4 linked regions of the Drosophila melanogaster genome follow. The protein of the gene in region 1 interacts with the protein of each later gene in a pairwise test. Each region holds a gene or a part of one and is shown on either strand. Other genes may lie near its edges.

The links.
Region 2: the proteins of Ent1 (region 1) and CG7272 interact in a two-hybrid assay, tested with the Drosophila melanogaster proteins (one large-scale study listed by BioGRID).
Region 3: the proteins of Ent1 (region 1) and CG16904 interact in a two-hybrid assay, tested with the Drosophila melanogaster proteins (one large-scale study listed by BioGRID).
Region 4: the proteins of Ent1 (region 1) and EndoU interact in a two-hybrid assay, tested with the Drosophila melanogaster proteins (one large-scale study listed by BioGRID).

Annotation. Positions count from the first base shown.
Region 1 is NT_033779.5:355,058-359,510, reverse strand, and holds Ent1 (equilibrative nucleoside transporter 1), read left to right. Parts: upstream 1-1,636; 5' UTR 1,637-1,824; coding exon 1,825-2,088; exon of another isoform or gene 2,089-2,182; intron 2,183-2,319; coding exon 2,320-2,620; exon of another isoform or gene 2,621-2,673; coding exon 2,674-3,144; exon of another isoform or gene 3,145-3,198; coding exon 3,199-3,593; 3' UTR 3,594-3,946; downstream 3,947-4,453.
Region 2 is NT_037436.4:15,499,331-15,504,299, forward strand, and holds CG7272 (uncharacterized protein), read left to right. Parts: upstream 1-1,607; 5' UTR 1,608-1,760; coding exon 1,761-1,930; intron 1,931-3,506; coding exon 3,507-3,912; intron 3,913-3,977; coding exon 3,978-4,088; 3' UTR 4,089-4,439; downstream 4,440-4,969. Other genes in the region: CG7275 (uncharacterized protein), read left to right, coding at 1-566, 623-1,178; CG7857 (uncharacterized protein), read right to left, coding at 4,484-4,827, 4,889-4,969.
Region 3 is NT_033777.3:9,815,421-9,818,877, reverse strand, and holds CG16904 (uncharacterized protein), read left to right. Parts: upstream 1-1,898; 5' UTR 1,899-1,920; coding exon 1,921-2,136; intron 2,137-2,208; coding exon 2,209-2,781; 3' UTR 2,782-2,950; downstream 2,951-3,457. Other genes in the region: CG9459 (uncharacterized protein), read left to right, coding at 512-739, 807-1,376.
Region 4 is NT_033777.3:15,906,401-15,910,885, forward strand, and holds EndoU (endoribonuclease U-specific), read left to right. Parts: upstream 1-1,997; 5' UTR 1,998-2,192; coding exon 2,193-2,319; intron 2,320-2,378; coding exon 2,379-2,538; intron 2,539-2,684; coding exon 2,685-2,890; intron 2,891-2,947; coding exon 2,948-3,180; intron 3,181-3,243; coding exon 3,244-3,486; 3' UTR 3,487-3,967; downstream 3,968-4,485. Other genes in the region: CG45105 (uncharacterized protein), read right to left, coding at 4,087-4,485. UniProt on the Drosophila melanogaster protein: Endoribonuclease that cleaves single-stranded RNAs at uridylates and releases products that have 2'-3'-cyclic phosphate termini. Preferentially cleaves single stranded RNA at poly-U sites with CU, UC and AU sites cleaved less efficiently.

The sequences.
Region 1 (4,453 bases):
ATTCAAAAAGTGTTATGTACCGAATCCCGTATATACGGGATAAATTAATTAATTAATAATATTAATTTTTCCGATGACAATGTAAATATTAAGTGCATGTATCCCTCGTCAGCTTTCCTGCTAAACGGCGGCTGTCAAGCATTCCAGCCAACTGCCACTTGGATACCCAAAAAGCCAGAGATCTTTAGGAGGAAACCAGAACAAGATCACCTCGGGTGGTCGGAGGACGTCACTCAAATTGAAGTCCGGCAAATGAGATTTGCCCGGCACCGGAGTGTAGAGCATGCAGAGAGGGCGAATGGAATCCATATCCGCAGCCCAATCTTCATCATCTTCGTCTGCGAGTTGAAGTTGTTGGATTTTTAATTAAGCGTGGCCTGCACCCGAGGCTTTTCGTCGAGTAGCTCTTCGGGACACGGGAAGTACGGCGATCTCGGCGGAACAGGTCTTGTTAGTAATTTTTAATTTGAGCTCTTCTGACAGCCAGCTGTCATATAAATTTAATTGAATTTACATTTTTATTAATTGCCAAGTCTGCTAGTGAGCCCAGTCTCGATCTCGTAGTGCTACCCGTTGGCATGAATGGGAGATGAGTTGCTTAAGCCGACTGGCTACTCATCAGACCATCAGCCCATCCACATCAACATCCCCATCCACTTCCACTCTCTGAATGAATTTAATTTGAGATGATTTGTTGATGGTTTCGTTGTGGTGATTTCTTGCTGACTAATTTAATGTGATTTTTAAATTGCCAGACCGAGGCAGAGTGTGTGGCCTGCGCAGGGGAATCAGAATCTCATCGGGAGATTGATTGGGCTCATGGGAGTGGGGGCAGCGTTTTTACGGAATTAATGAGATGACACGCCTCTCGCTGGGATGCGAAACCCCCTCGTGATCATTATGAACTAATCTAATTTGCAAGCCCGCGATGACAATCGAAGACGGAAGAGAAGTCCCCTCGATCCTTGCCCACCTGGGCAACAGCGCTAACGAGGACGCTTCTCCTCGAAGGCCCCCTCCAGTTTAATTCGCAAATCAAACAACCGCAGGGCAGAGATCGGAAATTCGCGCATAAGTAAATTAAAAATAAATTTATGTCCCGACCAGTGAGGGGGTCAGGAAACGCATGTCCAGAGGGAAGGAGCGTGTGTTAACCGGTTTCGGGACGAACGCGAATGCAAATCCAATTAAAATTTCGCAAGCGATCAATGGGCGAGGGGTGGAGGGCGGATCGCATCCTGCGAATGGCGCTAAGCCGTAAAACGAAGCTGTGCGCTGATTTAAAACACTGCGGGGCGTGCTTATTGATTAAATACAAATTGCGTTCATTCATCATCAGCTCTAGGGTCTGCTTGATATTGGTGTTTTTATTGTTGCTGCTCTGGCTGGCAATTAAATTACGATTTGAGGTGGATGCTACGCTCGTTTTGCAAATAAAATCCAATTTCACAGTCCTCTAAAATATAGGACTAAGATGCAAAACTAAGATGCAGTTTGAATCCCATCACATTTCGCGCCAAGGGCTGCCAACCTGGGTGAACGGTTTTGTGGTGTTAGTGCGATATCTTAGATATTTTCATTTAATCGATTCCTCTCGATAAGCCATCGATATTTTTTGTATAATGTCTTGCTTTGTTGTTTACAAATTCGTTTTTATGTTACGCAGTTCGTCCGTGCTAAATGATACACATGAAAGTAAATTGCATCAGATTAAGTTACATCGAATACTTCTCCACAATTACAGATGTGAATAATCCGCCAGAGGTGTTGTAAATTTATGAATACCAAGGGCTGCGTACAAAACAGTAGTGCAATTCAGTGGCAATGCCAGGCACCAGTGACACACGACGACTGGTGGACGCCCTGGACGAGGATGACGAGATTCTGGGCACGGAGGGCAGCTTCGTTCCCGCTTTTCGTCCGCAGGACCACCATGCGGATGAGCAATGTCTCATGGAACGCCAGCAGGACGAGGTAGTTTTGGTGTCCAACGAACCCGAGAGTGGACGACTCTTCACCTACCTCGTGTTCTACCTGTTGGGCATTGGTACCATGACCCCGTGGAATTTCTTTGTGACTGCGGAAGATGTAAGTTTAACGAGTGGAAATTTCCGCACCCGCATCCTAGTCAATTTAACTGAACTTCGGACATATCAATTCCAAACAGCTGAACAACTGGGCCAAGCGCAATTCTAAGGCGCGGTGCTTATCAGCTTTGTCGTCGTTTCTTTACGACCCACACCCAGACGAAAACTCTCTTTTTTGATTTTCTTTGTTTTCCGCTGACTTACGCTTTAACCCTGTTCGCTTCTCTTTCAGTACTGGAAGTACAAGTTCCGGAATGCATCGATTAATAACACAGACCTGGAGGAAGAGCTCACCCCGTTGCAGAAGAGTTTTACCTGCGACTTGGCTCTCACGGCCACTATTTCTGGGACTACATTTCTGCTGCTAAACGCCATTTTCGGACACCATGTGTCCCTGCGCACCAAGATGTTAGGAACGCTGTGGATGATCCTCATCCTTTTCGGGGTTACAACTGGCTTCGTGGAGATCAACACAGACACGTGGCAGGAACAGTTTTTCCTAATCACTCTCATCATTGTAGTGCTGCTAAATAGTGGGTACCATGAAGTACTCCTTGAGTGTTTACTTAATATTTATTATATATAGTATCTGCGGCTACAATGTCGGGAGCCCTCTACGGAGTCGCTGGTCTATTTCCCTCCGAGTTTATCACCGCTGTGGTTAGCGGACAGGCTCTTGGTGGTATCCTCACAGCCCTGGCCTTCATTCTTGTGCTTGCATTCGACACGGGTCCCAATACCACTGCATTCATCTTCTTCATTGTGGGAGGAGTGCTCATCCTGCTTTGCATTGTGTGCTACGTAATCCTGGCTCGAAAGCCTTTCTTTAGGTATTATCTCGAAGGTGGCGACAAGTACAAGGTCATCCGGGCAGTGCCCTCGCACAACCGGAATGGAAGCGCTGAGGGCTTGCCGCTTGAGCCTATTTTGCGTCAGGTCATGTCGAAGATCTATCTGCATGCCATTTCCCTAGCGCTCCTCTATACCACGACCCTGTCTGTCTATCCGGCAGTTACAGTGCTTATGCAGTCAGAGTACGGCCACAGCGTGTGGACAGGTAAACAGAAAACCTATTCTTTTTGTTCGTGCCTCATATGCGGTGTTCTTACAGATGTTTATTTTCTGCCCGTCGTGAACTACCTGATATTTAACTGCGGTGACTATTTTGGTCGTCTGTTTGCTGGCTGGATGGAGCGACCATTAAACCAGAACACTTCGCTACTATTTATTGTAGTGCGCATGGCGTTTGTTCCGTTATTTCTATGTTCAAACTCCAGCGAACACAGCTTTCTGCCAGTTTTGGTAAAACACGACTATACTTTCATAGCGATGATGGTAATGTTTGCCTTGTCCAACGGATATTTTACGAACATACTACTTATAATGGCGCCTAAACGCGTAAAGCAGCATGAAAAGGAGCTGGCTTCGTCGATAATGGCAGCTGCTTTGAGCTGTGGCATGGCTGTGGGATCACTGCTCAGCCTTGTATTTGTTCAAATGCTTTGAATTAGCCAACAAAATAAGTCTGCCCATAGTGCCTTCGGGAGTTTCAGAATCTTAAGCATTATAGTGATAGTTAACTTGATATTGGTTGCTCTTCCAACTACTTAGGGGGTGTTAATGTTTTTACTTTTGTTACAAGTCTACTGACTGAAATTATTTACACAGCGAAATTTTATTTAAATTTTTTCCAAAACGAAGTGTTATTTAATATTTTGAGTTATTTTGATGCTGTGTGTTGTTTTCCAAATTTTACTCATTTTTTATTTTAACAAGTTTACTATATCGGGATGCCTAGATTTAAGGTTTAAAGTTTTCATTATATACTAGGAATAAGACGATATTAAAAAAATTAGAACAATTAATTTTTCTTGTTTAACGTTTATTTCGGGTTTTCTGTGGATCACAACAACAATGTGGATAGATTTTATTGGATTGCTTTTGTCATTAATCATTGAATTAATTAATGAACTCCATCGTAGCGCGGTCTGTGAAGAGTTGTGTTTAAAATATACTTAGACTAGAAATCTAGTGGCGAATTGTAGTATGTGCATATATCGAGGGTATACTGTACCTATAAGTACACAGCAACACTTAGTTGCATTGCATAAATAAATGTCTCAAGTGAGCGTGATATAAGATCACCCATTTATGCTTTAAGCTAAGTCAGCATCCCCACGCTGGCCGCTGGCCATATATGCGCATAAGCTCTCTCTCTCTCTCTCTCTCTCTCTCTCTCTCTTATACATATATATATACGCTGCTCTTCTGCCGCTGTCGACGGCGGCGCAGTCGCAGTATTTAGGTAAGATTAGACACTCTGTAGAGGTTAAGCGGGCAGAACCGTTTCTGCTACTCGAAGAGAT
Region 2 (4,969 bases), on another chromosome or scaffold:
AAGCATCCCAAGCAACTTTCCACCTTGGCCACCGGCGCCTATGACGGCGAAGTGCGCATTTGGGACTTGGCGAATCGTATCAGCTCTCGGAACTTTGTGGCCCACGACGGTTTCGTTCGCGGCATTGCTTACACCCAGAACGGAGGTCGCATTTTCACCGTGGGAGATGATAAAACCATCAAGGTTTGGAAAGCAGAGGCTCCGGAAGTCGGCGAGGATGAGGTGCCGGTGAACACTATACTGAGTAAATTTGGACTGCACGGCATCTCGCACAATCGCAGGGATAACAAGTTCGCCACCTGTGGCGAGGTATGCGCCATTTGGGACGAAAGGCACAACGATCCTTTGAAGACATTGAAGTGGGGCGTCGATACCCTTCACACCATATCCTATAACCCCGTGGAAACAAGCATCCTGGCGTGCTGTGCCAGCGATCGCAGCATTATCCTGTACGATCAGAGAGAGGCGCAGCCACTAAGGAAGGTCGTCCTAACCATGAAGAGCAACAAGCTCGCGTGGAATCCCATGGAGGCGTTCAACTTCACAGTGGCCAACGAGGATTGCAAGTGAGTAAAACGGCCATACGAAGAGGATGTGTTGCTAAAATCTTTATTTCTTACAGCCTTTATACCTTTGACACTCGCAAGCTGCAAACGCCGCTGAAGGTTCACTTTGACCATGTTTCCGCTGTCACCGATGTTGACTACTCGCCCACTGGCAAGGAATTCGTCTCGGCCAGCTACGACAAGACCATTCGGATCTACAATGCCCACCACAGTCACTCGCGGGATATTTACCACACAAAACGCATGCAGCATGTGGTCTGCGTGGCCTGGTCCCTCGATAATCGATACGTTTTCTCCGGCTCCGACGAAATGAACGTCCGCATGTGGAAGGCGAATGCCTCCGAAAAGCTGGGCGTCATCCGTCCACGTGAGCGCGTCAATTTCAATTACCAGGAGGCGCTGAAGCAAAAGTATGCCGCTCATCCGCAGATCAAGCGCATCGCGCGCCATCGCCAGGTGCCGCGTCACGTGCTCAATGCACAGAAGAAGATGCGCACGGTCAAGGAGAAGGAGCAGGTCAAGGAGGCCAATGTGCGCAAGCACACCAAGAAGAGCAAGAAGGTGCCCTACGTCAGCGAGAAAAAGAAGCATGTGCTGAAGGAGGAGGTGTGAGGATGATTGCTAACGACTGTAGTTGGATAAGTTTGAATAAAATTGATTTTTGTAAGGAGACTATGTATGTATATATTAAGAAGCCTAATCTCAATTGAGTTTCTCACTTTCTATCATTGTTCTCAAGTGACTTTCAGTTTGGTCAAGTCAAACCGAAGTTATCAGTGAATTTGCTTAGTTTAAACTATTGTTTGGCTTTAATTCAGTGATACTAGAAGAAAGAAGATGTTGATAAGTTCTAAGGAATACTCTCCTGTTGCTCTAGAGAGAAAACTCATTTGCTTTGCCATGCAGCAACGTTTCGCGGAAATTTGAAATTCAATTCGTATCCGATAAGCCCTCGCGGGCGATAACGTTTGGGGAAAATCGGAGAGACGCGTCCATTTCTAGGGGATTCTCGATTATAAAAGGTTGCCAGCCCCACCGTTGGTGCTCAGTATTTGTTCGTTTGTTGTTACGGCAGCCGCCAGTCGGTCGTTAGTTTTTGTTTTCGTTCATTTGTTTATACTCGCGCGGCACTCGGCCCCCCTCCCGTTCCCACATAACCCGTTTGAAAGGCATCAACTGAGAGTCATTGAAATCATGGAGGCACTGGGGGATCTCTTGGCGCCACACAGCGAACTAATCGCCAAGGTAGCCGGCACCATAACTACCCTGCAATTTCTGTCCGGAGTGGTTCTGATGAACGACATCCGCAAGAAGGGTAGCAGCGACGTCTACCCGGTGGGCCCATTTCTCTTCGGAGTGGTGCTGTAAGTAACCTAATTGGGATTCCGTGATGCTCCACTGCATGCGACATCGAAAAAAAAACTAGTGGGCAGGGGGCAGGAAAAGCGAGTGAAAAGAACAAAAGCCAACGCATCTGTGTGGGAATTGATTAAATTTTAGAACTGTCGCCATGACAGCACAGAATCGAGTCTCTTCAAGGCCGCCAGTGAATCGGTTTTGCACACAATTCAAGAAGATAACAATGGAATCGATTACATCACTGCGTTGGCCAAATGGGAATTACACTTCGATCATCCGCGACCGTTACATTTCGAAATCGTTAACCTTGTCGAAAATCCGCCAGCAGCACTTTTGCCGCCTTATCGATGCGAGAACCCTCCAAACACGTAGCTCTTATCTAGAGTGTATAATTTTAGAGCTCCTCTATTACGAATGCTGATCCGGTAGAGTCTGTCCAAATCTGGGAGAGCCGCTAATCGTTTATACGACGGGCGAAAGATACGCGACTCGCCCTCTCCACGTGCTCGGCATAAAGCGGGGCTGCCCAGATTCCAAAGGGGGTGGGCCACCCAGTGGTGGTGATGGGAATATCTTGTCATCTATAAATATAATCTTCTCTAATTATAGCCGTAAGGCTTGTCCATTACTGCATATGAATAATAGTGTTTGCTTAGCAAAACATAATATTTTTTTAACTATAGTTTCCGTAATAATACATTTCTTTAAACAATTCCAAATTCCTGCTGGCTAAAGCACTAAATGTAGATGAACTCTCGAGGAATTTACCTTTTTATTTTTAAATCGTAAACTTTCCACTGTTTGTTTTGAACATCTCAAAAGATCATAAAGTGCCATATGGCAGCAAGTGAATGAGTACCATCAAGTGAGTGTGCCATCACTGCGCCGGGGCTTACTTGGGGGTGGTTTTCCGGAAGGTGTTAACTTGGACTGTGTCAAGTGTAAGGACCCGCAGACATGCAAGCGAAGCAACAGTTGTATGCTAAACGAATTCCACTCCACCCAATGGGCGCTCGAGGTCTCGGTCAAGGGCAGGTTCCTCGGCCAGTTTGCATTTCATTTCGCCCAGCCCGGGTGTATTTCACCATTGTTGTGGGTTTGTTTATAGGTTGATCGATGATAATGCTGATTATTTGTTGAGCGTTGAGCTCCTTATCAAATGCTACGTGTACCATGATTTGCACGCCGGCCCTATTATGCTTATTTATCTATCTCCACCTAGTATAGAATCTGATAACGCAATTAATAAGTGTAAACTGGTTTTTTTTTTCAATGAAGTGGTAGACTGGAGCACTTTAAATGAAAACTAGTTCCATTTCTCTTGATTCGAACTTTCTGTAGCGACTTACTGCTGGAAAACTGGTTCGGGCAGGGTCAATTAATTTGAATTAATTATAATATCCTCAGAAAACTATGCTCTTATCTACAAGTTAACTGGAATTTATAAAATTTCCAGCCTTATATTGAAGAATATTTTAAAATGAATATGAATGGTAACAGTATTACATTTTTGTTTAAATATAAAAACCAAATTTTGTCCTAAATTAAAGTAACTAATTAACAAATTGTTGAACTTTCTAGGACCGTTCTCAGCTTGAAGCTGGCCAACATTATGAATGATGCTGCCATGATCAATACGAATTTAATCGGCCTGGTGATAAACTTCGTCTTCCTCTTCGGATTTTACTACTACGCCTCGAGCGCCAGCAGGAGCAAGATCTGGAAGCAGATTGGCTATTCCTCGGTGTTCCTATTGGCCATCACCGCGTATGCCAACTTCGAGGATCCCGCCAAGATTGAGTTCCGCCTGGGAATGCTGATCACCGGCATCCTGGTTTGGATGGTGGGCTCTCCCCTGCTGCATCTGCCGAAAATCATTGAGAAGAAGAGCACCGAGGGAATGCCGTTCCCGATTATCTTTGCCGGTAATCTGGTGGCATTTTCCTGGACGCTGTATGCCATCTCCATCAAGAATACTGTGATGGTGGTAAGTTAGCAATTAATTCTATTAAACGAGAATGTAAATTTGAACCGAAAATTCTTCTATTTCAGCTGCAGAACCTTTTGCTGCTGGTCCTGGGCGGCATTCAGCTCTCCATGTTCGCTATTTATCCCAACAAACCGGCTGCCGAGAAGCCCAAGGACAGCAAGAAGGACAAATAATTGAAATCGAACGCTTTACCTAGAAAAAAGGACAAATAATGGGTTGTTGCAACAACATTACCAAGTAATAAGTAGCTAGGCTTTGAGGAATAATCAAATTATTGCTTGAATTTACACTAAACCGCCACAAGAAAACTAAATTTGAGCTAAACGAATTATTTTTCTATATAGGAAATATTTTCTTAGAACAAATCCAGCTAACTAAGTTGCTAGCTAACCTAGAATTGTTATTATATTGACTATTATTGTATATAACTACTACATACTTGCAATTTTTGACAATAATTCAAATCTTCCAAATGCATACGTATTTATAAAGTCAACATAATATGTAATAAAACAATCTGTTACAAAATCGAGTGAGTTGATGGTAAATGCCATTGGGCATTTCCCGTTTAGGCTGCTGGCACCGTGGAATTGTAGTGGGCACCCAATTGGTATATGTGGCGGTGGTAGCAGATGATCAGCGGTGATCCACCGAATTCCTCTTGCCCCAGGAGCGTCGGTGCTCCTTCCGCTTGGATAACTTCAATGGGCACCCGGAGTAGCGATGAGATGGCCTTCAGTTCTATGTGGCCACCCCAAGCGTGAGTTTTTGCTATGTCGTGGCAGTATTGTTCGAATTGTTGGTCGTTCAGAATGTCTCCTGTTTCCGGGTGGATCATGTATGAGATAAGCGAGTCCTTGTGAGCACGCACATAATTGGCAGTTTCCTCCCGCAACTCCTGAACACTGTGACCTTTGGTGCAATTATTATGGATTAGTTTTGGTGCTGTGTGGACTGAATCGTGAAGCATTACCTGGAAGAGCATTTACGATAAGTTGGTGTCTGATGGACTGATATAAGCAGTCGCCATCGGAGGGTATATTGTGAAGGGATA
Region 3 (3,457 bases), on another chromosome or scaffold:
TATTCGGATGAATATTATGATGGAAAAGGTGGAATAACACAAGACTTTGCCCGAAATTGTATGCTATTACTACGAAAATATCAATATCAAACAAAGTGTAAGTAAACTTCATTAGAAGTGACACGGTTAGAATTATATAAAATCGATTGATCTTAGAATACGTTAAAGTTATTACGTCAAAAGGCATTAAAAACTGGACTGCATTTAAAACTGGACTACATTAAAAACTAAATACGAATGCCATTATTTTACCTTTCGTAACCAGGGGACAGTGGATGTTCAACATATCCGGCATTCCAAGCGATGGAAACCTATTTTCCTTACTTTGTGACCGCAATACCCTCTTATATGGTCGGCGTAATAGGTTTTACTTACGTATGTAGGTATTTGTATAATAGAAACACACACTTAAATCAGCCTCGAAAACGAGCAGATTACCATTTCTCGGTTCTCGGCCGGAGTCCACATCAGTCGCTATTCCACCGACGTCGATAACACTTAGATATCCGACATGTTTGCCCATATGCTGGACTTCCTGAATCGATCGCCACCGGATCCTGTGCGTCTTCCGTTGACCAGCAGCCACTGGCCGGTGTTGACCATCCTTGGAATCTATCTAGTCTTCATAAAAATAGTGGGTCCTTGGTTTATGCAGAATCAAAAGCCCTACAATCTGGATAGAGCTATCAAGATCTACAACATCGTGCAAATCGCATACAATGTCATTTTGTTAATATTTGTAAGTAATGCTCTTTTTTTTAACAAAAATATATTAATATTCATTATATGTATCTCCAAATTTAAAGAGTGTGCACTTCATGCTTGGTCCTGGCAACTATAACTTCAGTTGCATATCCAATCTGCCGTTGGATCATGAGTACAAGAACTGGGAGCGTTGGCTCAGTTACTCCTACTTCTTCAACAAGCTCATGGATCTGCTGGAGACTGTGTTCTTTATATTCAGAAAGAAGTATCGCCAGATATCGTTCCTGCACGTTTTCCACCACGTATACATGGTGTACATAGGCTTCTTGTACATGTATTATTATGGATACGGCGGCCATGGATTCTTCTTGATCACCTTCAACGTGGTGGTGCACACCATGATGTACACCTACTACTACCAGTCGTCCCTCAATCGGAACTCGGGTGGCGATCTCTGGTGGAAGAAATACATCACAGTCGTTCAGCTTGTCCAATTTGTTATTATATTCTCGCACAGCGTCTATATCCTCCGGCAAACTGATTGTCAAACATCACGATTATCGGCAACTTGGGGCTCACTGATATCTGTAGTATTTATAATTCTATTTAGTAACTTCTACGTTCGCACCTACATTCTTCCCAAGAAAACGAAATCGGCGGTGGGCCGATGAGCAAAACTAATTAAGATTTAATATCACTGTTCCTTACATTAATCAATGTCATTAATAAATGCTTTTGATACAACAAATTCATTTGTTTTATATCATTGTATATATCGTATATTATACATAGATATATATTTTACATAAAGCAATGGGAGATATTTGTTGGTTTCTAGAACTCTCTATCCACTCGACTGCTTAATGCTATTAAATATGCAAAATACCCCTTTAATTGGGTCTCGCCAGTATTTTATAAATGTAGAACACTTTTTTTGTTGTATTGACAATAATGTCAAAAGGAGTAATTTTGTAAATAATGGCACTGCTGATTAATAAAATGTTGAAAATAAAAACGTAGTTGAACTGTTACTTATATTGTATTTAGTTCGATTTGCAAAGCTTTAAGTATTCAAGTTGAAGGTTGATAGTGGGTTAAACATACCGGAAATTTGCACTAATGTAATTAGCAAATAGGTAATAGTATAGTGGCTATCGTGAAAGAAAGAAATCACAGAAGGTAAAAGTCAAGTCACTCGTTAAGTCGTGCGCGAAAATGTTCGAGGTGTTCGATAAGCCCTTCGCCGATCCTGTCCAGCTGCCGCTGGCGGGCAGTATCCGCACCTCGGTGATCATCATCACGGTGTATCTATTGTTTGTGCTCAAGCTGGGCAGGAAGCTGATGGACAAGCATGAGGCACTCCAGCTGCGAGGTGTGCTCAAGTTCTACAACATCGGACAAGTCCTGTTCAATTCGGTGATTTTTGTGTGGGTACGTAAGTCGAAGGATATCGATATACACAGTTTTTTAATCGTTTTCAATGGATTGCTCCATATTACCCAGGGCATCCATCTGTTATTCGTGCAGAAGCCGTACAACCTGAGCTGCATGCAAGTCCTGCCGCAGGATCATGAGCTAAAGTCCACGGAAAGGACACTGTCGTACATGTACCATCTGAACAAGGTGCTCGACCTGATGGACACCATATTCTTTGTGCTGCGCAAGAAGCAGCGCCAGATCACGTTCCTCCATGTGTTCCATCACGTCTTCATGGTCTTCACCTCGCACATGCTGATCCGATTCTACGGTTTTGGTGGCCATGTCTTCCTGATCTGCATGTTCAATGTTCTGGTGCACATCGTCATGTACGGCTACTACTACGCCTCGTCGCAGAGCCAGAATGTGCAGGAGAGCCTCTGGTGGAAGAAGTACCTTACCCTGGGCCAGCTGGTGCAGTTCCTCCTGATGTTCCTGCACTGCATGTACACCTATTTCCAGCCAAACTGCTCGGCGTCGCGGGGTGTCATCTATGTCATAAGTTCGGCCAGCGCCTTCATGTTTCTGATGTTCACCAAGTTCTACATAAAGACCTACATTCGGCCGAAAGAGGTCAAGTCCAAGGGCAAGGTCAACTGAATGCACCTGCTACACTGTGATCAAAAACTGGTAATTCGTATGTACATAACTATTGGGGTGCATAGGAATGAAGAGTGTCTTTCCAACTTTCATACAATTTTTGTTATAAAATTCCCACCTTTGATCCTGTTTTTTTTTTGTATTATTTAATAAGAATGTATTTGTAATCAACAAATATTTTATTATTACTTTTACAATACATTGGCTTCTTAAATTAAATTTGAATTATAAAGTGATACATCATTGGTTTCTCTGAGTGTACTCGACAATTTGCATATGCGCCGTTTGAATAATAGATGAATTCAAATGCATCGACAGTTAATTCAAATGCAGTCGAAAAGGTCAAGGAGTTAGACTCCGTCCGGAATAAATCCCATCGGCCACATCTCGACTACTCGTGGTTTCCATCGTCGAATCGAGGGGATTCCCCTTGGCACGTGATCTGCATGCTCCGCAGAACTTGGACCGAGCACGTCTCTGGACATTCCATGCTGCATTTAATTAGAATATTAGGAACGAGCCTGGCCCAGCACCGGCGATTTATGGCACCGGAAGGGTCACCCGTGGCCGGCCGAATTTGCATAGGAATCGCATGCGGCGAATCAGAGTCAAAGTGCCAGCTGAATAATTGCGGCCATGCGGCAACATTAAAGCGAAGCCGCAGTCAAGTGCAGTG
Region 4 (4,485 bases), on another chromosome or scaffold:
ATGGACGCAGTGCAGCAGCAAACAAACAGCACTAGCAACATCGACAGCGCCAAATGCCAGAAGCTAAAGAGATTTGTGATCGTAGGCTTGCTGATCACCATTGGCATTTTGAGCTGGCACTTCTACGGTGAGTTGTCTCTTTAAGCTCTCTTCCGTAAGCGAACGGACAACGGTTTTTTCTCTTAGAGTACTTCCACAGCAAGCCGCTGCCCAAAACGCCGGATGACGTCTTGACCCTCTCGAAGAATCTGTACGCGGAGGAGACCGAGGTCAGTCCATACCTCTACAAGGTGAATCTCCAGGGGAAGACCACTTCAGGTGCTCATGACGATCGCGCCCCTAGAAAGTAAGTACCTAGTTGCGCCGCCTAATGAATTTTATCATTAAAATATTTAATTTGATGATAAGGCAATTTAATTAAAATAATTATTAATTCATTAAATACTAAAGCTGTCTAATAAACATTATTTCATATTTCTTGAAATTCATTTCGTGAATTCATTTCGTAAGATTTGGTAAATATTGTCTGAGACTGCTTGTCACAACATTAGAACTGAGCTAATCAATAAAACGCGCGCTCCGAATTTTGAAGCTTCGGAGTTTTAGGAGTCAGGAGATTAAAAGAAGCAGCAAAATCCAGTTTTCGGCTAGACTACAAGACATAATTACTTTAAGTATAAAGAACTAACCTTGATAATCAAATTTACCTATACCTAAGCTTAAAAAAGGCAAACATTGTATTCGAAAATATTAGATGATTGTAACAAAGCAAACAATTCGCTTCACTGTGAAGAATAAATCAAATGCTAATCCAAAACATAATGTATCAAATTACAATATTTGTAAAGCTCTCCTTTAGTACACTGAATTCTTCTACCAGGTGGATCCAATCCAAAAGCAAACTGAAAACAAATTACACCTTTCGTGACGAGCTATTTGTTTTCCCGTGCCTTGAATATATTGATATATTGATATATTGATCAAGGTTAATTTAAATATAGCATGATGGATATCTTGGTATTAGATTGTGAAAGTTAATGTGGTTTTCGTCATTCCATCTTTGGCGACAATGTATTTAATTGTATTTACGTTTTAAAGACTATTTTCAACTAATTGTAGGAACTGCAGTCCAGACAATATAAGAGTAAAATCTTGTTGATATTAAAAAAAAATCAAGCCCTAAGAAAATTTCGCACTGCAATTATAGGTGTTCAATTATACAATATTTTGTTCACAATTTATTGTCAATTTTTTTTTCAAATCACGTCACAGTTTCCTGTTGAAGTTTTTTTTGTTAAACACAGTATGGTTTAAGCCCAATTTGGAAGTAATTATATTACAGTCGAGACTTTAATACAAATGACGCTATATTCGCTGAAACAAACAAATTAGTAAGTGCGTGATTAAATTATTTGTTTAGTACTTCCAGATGAGAGATTCAAGACACGATGTTAGTAATTAAAAGAGACTTTGGATGAAATTCCTTAAGTACCAAAAATTAGTAGGCTTGCCACGTGCCATATGTTCCCACAAAAATATGAATTGAATTTTAAATATCTATAGATACTAGAAGTATTGTGGAAAAGAATAATTGGTTTCATTCATGCACGTTTAAAGACTGATTCAATTGTAAACCTTTTTATAAAATGAATTAAAATATAAATGATTATCCAAGGTAAAACAGAATATTAGTTTTTCAGTTACATTTTATTTATATTCGTTTGGCTTAGCTTTATTTCTTTAGGAAACTAATTGTTTTCCTACTTTGACTGGCCGCATAAATTATACCATATGCTGCACATTGTCATTTATGTCCTCAAACTTGAAATTTGGCATGGGGGCCCAACGAATCCGCTCCTGAGTAAACAAAAGGCTGCTCGCGAGGTGAAAACAAACCACAACAATGATCCCCCAGAGAGCGCCGAAAACGAAAATAATTGGAGAGGGAGAGCGTGTTATCCAATTTTTCGGGGGAACTACTTGTGTGTTCAGCAAGCATATGAGCGGCCAGATCCGCAGTGGGGCAAACCCGCTCAGTATCGTTTCAGCCATAAAGGTAGTTGGTCGGAAAGAGCAGATAAAACTCGATCAACGCGAGAGTTTTGGCTGAAGATAAACGGCGAGCATCGGGAAAGTAAACAGAGGCGCAAAAACAAATGTTTGACTAATCTTAATTGGATAATTATATCACAATGGACGCAGTGCAGCAGCAAACAAACAGCACTAGCAACATCGACAGCGCCAAATGCCAGAAGCTAAAGAGATTTGTGATCGTAGGCTTGCTGATCACCATTGGCATTTTGAGCTGGCACTTCTACGGTGAGTTGTCTCTTTAAGCTCTCTTCCGTAAGCGAACGGACAACGGTTTTTTCTCTTAGAGTACTTCCACAGCAAGCCGCTGCCCAAAACGCCGGATGACGTCTTGACCCTCTCGAAGAATCTGTACGCGGAGGAGACCGAGGTCAGTCCATACCTCTACAAGGTGAATCTCCAGGGGAAGACCACTTCAGGTGCTCATGACGATCGCGCCCCTAGAAAGTAAGTACCTAGTTGCGCCGCCTAATGAATTTTATCATTAAAATATTTAATTTGATGATAAGGCAATTTAATTAAAATAATTATTAATTCATTAAATACTAAAGCTGTCTAATAAACATTATTTCATATTTCTTGAAATCTTCCAGCCTCTTTGAATTGCACCAGGATCTGCTGGCCAGGGATGCTAACTCCACCACCGCTCTGCTAATGAGGCTCTTTGACAACTACGAGTTGGACGTGGCTGTGCAGGAGCATCCAACGCCGGAGCACGTCCAGGAGCAATATGATTTCCTTAGGGCCGTGATGGGTACGCGTGTGATGAAGCTGACCATGCGTTTTTTGGTACACAAGGGTGAGTAACCTTTAAATGAAATAAATCAGACTAGTATACCTATCCAATACCATCTAGATATTGTGAGCGTAGAATATGACGATCAGCTGCGTCTGCTGCAGGAGCTGTGGTTCACTCCCTACTCCAGAGGTCGTGGCATTGTGGGCAGTTCCAGTTTCGAGCACGTCTTCATGGCGGAGATTCGGGACCAGAAGGTCCTGGGCTTGCATAACTGGCTGTACTTTGCAGATCAGGAGCAACGTGGCAATGTGGACTACAAGGGCTGGCTGAACCACAAGGAAATGGGAAAGGTAAGGCTTAAAGACAAATGTAACAGATGATCCTTACAAAAGGGGATTGCTATATTTCCTCAGCACAACCAAATGGTTCTCAGCGTTCGCTACACGTTTCACAACATCAATAAGCCAGTCAACGGCTTCTTTGTGGGCATCTCGCCCGAACTGGACATGGCCCTGTACACCGCCTGCTTCCTGGCCACGGCGAAGGAGGAACCCTGCCACATCCAGTTGGGTCATGCCTCCGCCACGATTGTCTCCCACGAATGGAAATGGAACGGTATGCGCCTGATAGGAACCGTCTATCCGGACAGCTCCTAGATCACTCCAACCACCCATCTCGCAACCTCAGTCAAATTACTGACATTCGATTCGGTCGCACTGTTACCTCATCGAAATCAGCAAAAGGCTAACCTCCAAGCTCAAAGTCAAGTTCATTTTATTTTGCCACTTTATGAGTGCTTGGCCCAGTTGTCGCTGGCAATTGACGAGGATGTCAGTCAGGACATGAACAATGCCCATCTGCCTATCATTTTGGTTGTTTTGACAGGATTGCGTGGCGCAGAGCACTTACATCACGAAGTTGTTTATTAGTTCTAACATTAATAGTTATTACTGGCGGAAATTATGCAAGAGGCAAAAGCGTTTATTTTGAAGGAGCGAAAGGAGGAAAAGTGAGTGTGACGTTTTAGTATTATGCAGTCATTAAGCTCACCCTCGAAATGGATTCTACCCACTATAATTTTTATACCTTTGAATCTCTTGAACTAGCTAGTTGAAAATAAAATAACAAAATCAACTTATTTAAAATGGATTTATTAGTTATAAAACATGAATTTCCCTTCTTCGTTTAATTATGGAACACATGAGTAGAAGTACGTTGATTGAAGAAACTGTTGCTGGAGAACTCGGTGCTGACCCCTATTCATGGGCATCTAGATGGCGCTCGATGGTGACGGTCTCGTTGGCAATGTCCGCCTGCTGGACCACGGCCGGTGCACTCGACCTTCTGGCTGTGATGATGGTGGTCTGGGCCGGGGACAAGCTCTCCTCCCCCGAACCATTTTCAGCCAGGACCACAAAGGTCTCGCTGAGATCGGCCAATTCCGAGCAGGTTTCATCGTTGGACGAGCGCATCAGGCTGGGACTACTGATGGAGCACTCCAGCGTCAGGCGATCCTCGCAGTCGGGACTCCAGCTACTTTTTGCCGGCGGCTGACGCGGCAGGCTGTTGTGGCACAGCGGATTTTCCGCCGGCGACTGCTCCAGCCGCAGCTGCTGACCCCACAGCTCCACTGCCCGGGCGCGATTGTGGTCGGC